Linked DNA regions of Xenopus tropicalis. The protein of the gene in region 1 interacts with the protein of each later gene in a biochemical or structural test. Links are inferred from orthologs where the notes say so. Each region holds a gene or a part of one and is shown on either strand. Other genes may lie near its edges.

What was found.
Region 2: the proteins of sirt1 (region 1) and rps19bp1 form a complex in vitro, tested with the Homo sapiens proteins (2 studies listed by BioGRID and IntAct). The link is inferred for Xenopus tropicalis from reciprocal best matches to the Homo sapiens genes SIRT1 and RPS19BP1.

Annotation. Positions count from the first base shown.
Region 1 is NC_030683.2:38,239,715-38,244,016, forward strand, and holds the start of sirt1 (NAD-dependent protein deacetylase sirtuin-1), read left to right. Parts: upstream 1-1,497; coding exon 1,498-1,846; intron 1,847-3,867; coding exon of another isoform or gene 3,868-3,981; intron 3,982-4,302. UniProt on the Homo sapiens protein: NAD-dependent protein deacetylase that links transcriptional regulation directly to intracellular energetics and participates in the coordination of several separated cellular functions such as cell cycle, response to DNA damage, metabolism, apoptosis and autophagy.
Region 2 is NC_030680.2:121,078,648-121,082,703, reverse strand, and holds the start of rps19bp1 (active regulator of SIRT1), read left to right. Parts: upstream 1-1,252; 5' UTR 1,253-1,262; coding exon 1,263-1,317; intron 1,318-1,578; coding exon 1,579-1,743; intron 1,744-4,056. UniProt on the Homo sapiens protein: Part of the small subunit (SSU) processome, first precursor of the small eukaryotic ribosomal subunit.

The sequences.
Region 1 (4,302 bases):
TGCTTGTGGGAGGTGAACCTGGCAGGGGTTTGTGGGAGTTTGTTAGCAGTTGGAAATAGCCATTAAATGGTCCCTAAGGTGTGTAATTATGTACTGGGGGTTGCTCTGCTATCCACAGGGGAGGAGGAGGCATATGGAATTTAAGGGTATATCTTAATATGACATAATTCTTTCACATATGAATGATGGTTGATATCCCCACAGTAAGCACCAAGCATTTGGGATTTTGCTGTGCTACCACCATTGTGATAAAATGTGTGTGGTTTGAAGTGGGTGTGGTTTCAAAAAGGGGAGTGGTCAAAACTGGCTTCCATTAGCGGCCCTCCACCACGTATGCTAGAGAAATTCCGGCCCTCGGCACTGCAGCACTGCTCTATAGCCATTCTAGTTGTTCATATTCTGTTTTAGGGCTCTGGCACACGGGGGAGATTAGTCGCCCGCGATAAAACTCCCTGTTCGCGGGCGACTAATCTCCCCGAGTTGCCTACCCCTGCCATCCCACTCGCGAGTCTTTTTCGGCGATTCCCTGAAATTGCCCCGCTGCGTCTGCCATCCCACCGGCGACTTACATGTTCGCCGGTGGGATGGCAGGGGTAGGCAACTCGGGGAGATTAGTCGCCCGCGAACAGGGAGTTTTATCGCGGGCGACTAATCTCCCCCGTGTGCCAGAGCCCTTAGGGTGAAGACACACAGAGCTACTAGTAGCAGCTACTTGTAGTGGCTACTAAATTAGACAATGCTGATCATTTACTGATAACCGTCTCTATGTGTTTTTTTTGGCAATTCTCAGTATTGTCTATGGCAGGGGATTCTCTGGAGTTTAGTAACCTTGAAAAAGTAGCTGCTACTAGTAGCTCCATGTGTCTTTCCCCTTAGGGCAGGGACACATGGTGAGATTAGTGACAAATCTCCCTTGTCGCGGGCGACTAATCTCCCCGCAATGCCATCCCACTGGCTACAATTTAAATCGCTGGTGGGGTGGCATACAATGCGCAGCAATTTGCCAAAGTCGCCCCAAGTTTCCTCTTAAGGCAATTTCGGCAAATTACATCCACAAATGTGTTATGCACAGAGCTTCTAAAAATGATGCTTAAGCCAAATATTATTAACCTACACTGATTAATGACGCCAAAATGGTTTCAGCATCTCCCCAGTTCTTTTCCCCCTAGACATGAGACAACTTCAAGAGAAAGTTTTTACACGGACTATAAAAAATGCCCCTCTCCTTTGGCTTTTGTATCTGCTAACAGGCTTTGCGGGCTTGACAATCACCACACCAACACACCCCTGAAAATGACACTTTATTGCCGATTTCGCTTTCCAACACCCTCTCCGTTCGTTGTGGCGGTGCCAGCGCATCCCCAGGTACCATGCGAGTGGCTAGTTTGTTATTGTACACGTCACACGGCCGGGGAACCAATAGGAAACGGTGTATCACGTGGTTCGCTGCGCTCCATCGTACAGCTGATGGGCGACTCCTTCTCTGGCAGTGGGAAGATGGCGGACTCAGATCGTGTAGGTTTTCCCATTGCCGGCGCTGTGTTAGCTGTCTCAAAAGAAAATGGCGAGCCCCTTTCCAAAAGGCAGCGCTTGGAAGATACCGGCGGGGGTGGGAGCCAGCTTGTGGGGGCTGAAAGCGAGGGAAAAGCGGCATTGCCGCCTATAGCTGCTTCTCTCCAGGAGGAAGGCGAGGCCTCTTCGGCAATGGAAAGCAAATCCAGAGCGCACAATGGCTCGGGCTTTCAGGGCCTTCCTTTGGGAACGTATTTGGTACAAGGCCAGGAGGAGGGCGGAGCCGAGGAGATGCCCAATGGAGACCTGTCGGATCAGGCTGTTGATTACGGAGGTTGGTTCCCTTTAACTCTTTCCCTACTAACAGCGGCATTGGGCGGGGCATATTCTGTAGGTGTTTGGAGGTTCTTCAGTGCAGTAATGTGGGCGATTCAGCGCATCAGTGGGTATAGAGTGCTACTCCTCTCTCCCTTCCATTTGCTAATACTGACCCATACAAATGAAGGTGCTTTTGCCAAGTTTGAACATATATTCCATTTAAAAACATTAGCAATGGTATATGTGAGTGAGTTATTATTAACATTTATTTATAAAGCGCCAACATATTCCGCAGCGCTGTACAACAAGTGGGTTTCATACATTGGACATACAGAGTAACATATAAAGCAATCAATAACTGATACAACAGGTGAAGAGAGCCCTGCCCAAGAAAGCTTAAAAGTTATGCTTACACCCTATAGTTGGGCCGCTGCTCCTTTGTAGAAAAAAATGCACCAGCCCAGGGTAAAATCTTCACTTACCTTCTCTTTGGAATCCCTACAGCAGGCAAGTCAAAGAGCTTTACTCAACTACACATGTACAAACCCAGGCTGTGAATGGCTTGGATGTGGCTAAAATGTAGGCACATCACTACTTTTCTTCCCTTCAGGGCATTTTTCCCAAAAGGGAGGCTATTGCCTTCTCTTGGCCTTAACTATCTACACATAGGCTGTATAGAGCTCATTAACTGTCCTTGTACTGGTAGGATAAAGAAACTTAAGGGTCCTTCCTGAAGGAAATTTCAGCCTCCCCAAAACAGCTCCTTAACTGGCCTCTTTTAGCCCCACAAAGTTACATTTAAAAGTGTCCATGTGTGTGAACCTGCCATTAAATGCAGAGTAACGGGAGTCACAGTCATCACTTTTTGTATCCTCACTTTGCTGACACAGAGCCTGAGGGACATGCATAGTTAAAGCTGATCCCAGAGTAGCTCCAACTGCTCAGGTTCTGAAGAAGTGCAAGGAGGTTCTGTGAAGTGCAAGGATGCATCTAATACAGGATTCGGCCATTTTCAGCAAGATTCTGAAGATTGCATAAGCAAATTAGGATTCGGTTCCGTATTCGGCCGAATCTTTTGCAAAGGATTCAGGGTTTGGCCGGATCCTAAAAATTGTGGATTTGTTGCATGAAGAGGATCTGAAGAAACAGAAGATGGCACCTATGATCTCCTCTACGGTACTCTGCATTTTTATGGAGGTTTCACAACAGTGCAGGTCGACCTAAAACCTGCATAACCCAGGGGTTGCAATTTGTGGGTGGTGAGCCAAGTTCACTGCCACTCCCTGATCTGTCTCTGTGCTTTTCCAGCCTCCATACTACTGGGGCAGCACTTTAGCTGGCCATACACAGGTATTTCAGCTTCCGATTCGGGTCCTTCAGGCCTACACGACTGACAGTCTTAAATTGTCCAGATCTCGATGGGACAGGTGTGGTTTTCTGATTGGGGATGCATTGTCTGACAGCACCTATGACCAGCGGGTGAAGATCTGCTCATTTTGTGATCTTTTTTAGCATAATTGTCCATGTGGAATGGGAGCAGGGAGTTGGCTAATGGAGGCTAGTTGAGGGTGCTAGGGTTTGGGGGAATGAGTTCCCATTATCAGCACTGCACACAGGGCAGTTCCCATTGTTTTTTGCTCACAATGAGTAACAACTCAGGAGGTGTGGACGAAACATTTAAAATTTCCACTAGTGATGTGTAAATCAACTGTCCTCTGGTCAGGTGAGTTTGGGTTGCTGGTTCTGGTGGGTCCAGGTGCTGGTATTGTTATACCTACCATCATCTTTTTCTGTGAGCCTCCACCTTGGTGACGTCACTAACAGATTGAGTTCCAGGAAAAAGTGTATTTTGTGACCCCACTCATCACTCATTTACACCCTTTCACTGAGAGTGATTATTAAATTGTTACAAAATGTGTTATCTTTGCCACAAAGACAAAAATGTACTTGTGTATTGGATAGAAAACGTTGTTCTTGGTGCAGTCTTTGTTTCAGAAAATGCCTTGTTTTAAACCCCTTGGCTGAATTCTTTTACAGCGGGTATCCATCTGGATGATGATCTTGCTGGTGGCTTTCATTCTTGTGACAGTGAAGATGATGATGGTGCATCTCATGCCAGCTCAAGTGATTGGGCACCCAGGCCCTGTATAGGTAAAGATGCCTATTTTTGTTATAGGCCTAGTTGTGCCTAGTAGAAAGAAATAACCATGCTAGCAAAATCTTTAGTTTATAACAGAATTATCCTTACTATATTAGAAAAAATTAGTTTGAGTTTGATAAATTTATAGCATTCTCCTCTTACAGCCTTACCAATGGACATTAGACAATAAATACACAAATTTTTTTTATGTTGGACACTTGTGGTGACCTCCACTGAGACCTTTCTTATTAGGGCTTCATAAATTAACTGGTACAGAATCCCTGCTACAAAACATTCTGCTGATAGCTTTCTGACCATCTTGTGGTCTTGTT
Region 2 (4,056 bases), on another chromosome or scaffold:
ACTGTTCCTTTAAAGGGGACCTGTCACCCTAAGAAATAATTCCAGATTGTTTTCACTTGTGTTTGTCAAGCAAAATACATTTAATTTACACCATATAAATTAGTTTAATCTTATTTTCTTCAGTCTTGGAATTCACAGTTGCAGCAAGCAGGGAGGTGCCATTTTGTGGACACTGTTTAGGCAAGCTTTGTATCACCCCAAAATCTTGTTTCTGTGCCTGTATGGGGGGACCTGATGCCCATGCACTGGTTACACAATTAGATGGTGAGGAGGGAGGGGGAATGTGAGGAGTACAGTGACATCTAAGAAGTTCTGAATTGAAAGTGAAAGTAACTGCCTGCCCCACCCCTATGCCTAAGGCATAGAGGTGGGGCAGGCAATATATGATTGACAGTTGGGATTTTTAAATGCTTTTATAATGGGTATGGATGTGTTAATAAAGAAATGAGTTTGGGTTTCATATTCAATTTGAAAAGGACTTTTATTATACAGCTTTTTATGCCTGGGTGACAGGTCCACTTTAAGTAAAATAAAAAGTGTTTCAGTTGTGATTGCGGGTTACTTCACACAACACAAGCTAATAAAGTTGCTCCCTGTGGGGGGGGGGGGGTAAAGCTGTAGTGAAGGGGTTAAAGCTGTATGGGGGGGGGGGGGGGGGCTCAGCCTTCCCTCAGACATAGGGCAAACTTCTTGTATACTTAAATATACCAGAAAGCCATATAGTTAGGCTCAAACTGAAAACTCCATTCCCCCTGCTCTACATCCCTGGAACTAGAGAACGGCTTGATGGCTAAGCGGGATTGAACTGAATATTACTGCGGGAAACATTTTACAGGCAGCCTCTCATTCTAAGTTTGCGCGGGAATTGAATCCCCTACGAACATTAACTCAAAGTGAACAAAGTACCGCATTATTATGAAGCAAAAGTGACACATTTGCCCACAGGGCTAGTGAACAAAACGTTCTATATAAAATGTACATTCAAAGGAAAACACAAAGGGGCGCAACTCGTATCGCACGGAGTGTTTGGCACCCGTGTGACAGGAATTTCTGAAAATACAGAAGTCGTGCGCAAGCCCCTCCCCCCGTCCTACGCAAGCCCCTCCCCCCGTCCTACGCAAGCGGAAATAAACTCAGCCGCAGTTACTAAGAGACAAGGGTTATTTAAGGAAGTGTACGCGGCTAAGCCGGAAGTGGCGTGCCGAGCCTGCCGGAAGTTGTTTATTTTAAGCACGCGTGCATTGGAACCGGGAGCCGCGGGGATGTCTGTGTCACTGCTCAGGAAAGGCTTGGATTTGCTTAGGGAGGAAAGGAGCGGTAAGGATAGGGCAATTGCCTAGTTTGGAAGGGGCACTGTAGGGGACGTATCCGTGTAAACATGAATTTCCACCCCCAGCATTTAACAACATATAAATAAGGCTAAAAGCCTTCTGGAAGTTGTAGTCCAGCAATATGTATGGGCTCAAGATTCTTATCACAAGTTGCAAATAATGCGCAATGTTCAATGAGTGATGGTTTTTACTGTAAAGAAAAGTACAAAGTTGTGTGACCTGTACCATTCCCCTTTAACCTGTACAGGTGCAGAGTCAAGCTCCAAGAAAAGAAACTCAAGCAGCAAGCCGAAGCCCTGCCTTTCCAGCAGCAAAACCGGCATGAGAAAGCAACTGCGGCGGCTGAAGCAGCAGGGACTGCGGCACGACCAGAAAGCAACTGCTAAAGGCAGGGTGATACGGTCCGCTGTAGGTGAGCATTATATGTCATCCCACTGCCTTGCTTTGTATGTATGTATATCTTTATTTATAAAGCGCTACTTATATACGCAGCGCTGTACAGTAGAATACATTAATACAAACAGGGGGTTAATAAGATAATAGATAAATAGAAAGTATAACAATAAATACAGCTGCAATAAGTTAAGAGTCGAGGACACAAGAGGAAGGAGGTCCCTGCCCCGTAGAGCTTACAATCTATATGGGAGGGTAACTAACAGACACAAATAGGCAAATATAAGTGCTGTAGGTGACAGTGGGTGACACTACAATATAAGTGCCAGTTTTGTAATCACTTGAGTGATCTAAAGGGTTACCCATAGAAAACAGTAGTTTAAAGGAGACATATCCTATAAAAACTAAGAATGTACCAGTAAATTATACTCCTCTAAATATAGAAGGATTGTGCTTAAAAATGTTGTGTTTCTGACTGATTTATTGAGAAATTCCATCAAAACTCCACTAGCCCCGCCCATCTGTTCCACTTCCTGCGGGCTGTGATTGGCTTTCTCCTAACTACTGTGCATCTGGCAGGGACCGTTGGGACACGCCCACTCTTCATTTCACACTGGACGGAGACGTGATAGGATCTATAGGGAGCTCCAATAAGGGGGCCATTGTTACAGATAGGGTTAATGTTTAGCCCAAAGGGAAACCAGCACCGTATATTATTCATAATTGCCTACAAAATAATTGTTTTTCCCCATTTATCCAATATGTCTCCTTTAAAGCTGATGCCACACCAGGCGGATTCTCATAATGCAGAAAAACCTAGACTGAGAATCAGCTCCAGCACTGGCATCAGCCTCCTTTCTTGCCAGAACTATTGAATTGGCTGGGTGCAGGCACACGCAGCGGGAATCTTTGAAGAAACAAGAGTTTGCATTTCAGAGTCGATATCCCACAAGAGCAGACTGTGATTCAGTGGTTCCGGGTGCAGGCAAAGAAGACTGTTGCCAGTATAAGGCCTGATTTTCGGTCTTTGTTTTTCCACAGGCCGAGAATCAGCCCTTTGTGGCATCAACCTTTGCTTAAGAAAAGCACATCAATTAAGTTCATCTTTTAATTTTAAGTCAGGGCTGAATACTCGGCATGTTTGTATGACATTAGGAATTTAATATAATCTAACTCACAAACTAATTTAGCATATTCCAAAGGAAAAGGAATAACCCTATCCAAAGCAGCCTTCCACTTCCCTCAGAAAGGAAGCAATCGTTCCACTGCAAACTGGTATATTGGGCAGTTTTTGGATTTATATTGTACTGATGTATTAATGACAGTAACCTTGTACTGCTTTGCTTGATAAAAGGTATCCAACGCTTACGGAAGTTAATTGTTGCCAATACAACTGTTAGTGTGTCCTACTACTATTTCCACCTTTTTCCACTCCTTGAGGGCAATGAAATGTTTTTGGGTTTTTTTGCTACTTGTGGTAAACAAAACATCAACTGTATGTTTTTTCTCCCTGTAAACCGTTGTGGCTAATAACTGCCCTAAACTGGACCTTTTTGCATTTTAGAGGACTGTACCCTTTGCAGGGCAAACCACATTTATATCAGAGGTAGGCACCACATGTGAGGGTAGCTGCAAACAATGTGTCCTCCTTCCCTCTACTTCCTTCTAATCTCAGTGGGTGCCCTTGGACTGTCTGTAAATTAACATCCAGAAAGCTCATTGATCTCTTCATAACAAATTCAGCATGCACCAAATCCATAATTGTTGGAGTTGGCTATATCATCCGCAACAGATTGATCCAAATACACAAGATAATGCGAAGCCATATATGCACATTTGATTCAAGTCAACAACATTGCAACTGAAATATGTCACCTTCAGTTGTCCAGTTTGAAATTTCATGGTATTACGGTTTCTGGGAAACACTAGGCATTCAACTAGATTTAAAATTTTTGGAGAAAGATCCTGTTTCCCATGATAACCTCTTTTAGATTGTATATTATCTTGACCTCACCATCCTAACCACATAACCAAGACCCTTCATTGTGTTTAGTGCACTGAAAGGGAAGAAATATTCTATGTATATTCAATATAGTCTTTTCAGCTTAAAGGATTACTGTAATTGGACAACATGTTTTCCCATGACACATCAGTTAATAGAGCTTCTCCAGCAGAATCCTGCTGGTTTTAATTTTGAAATTTCACATGGGGCTAGCCATACTCTTCATTTCCCAGGGTGCCACAACCATGTGACCTGTGCTCTAATAAACTGCAGTCACATGCTGAGCTGCAAGTTAGAGTGATATCACCCCTTTCCCAGAAGCCTATCAGC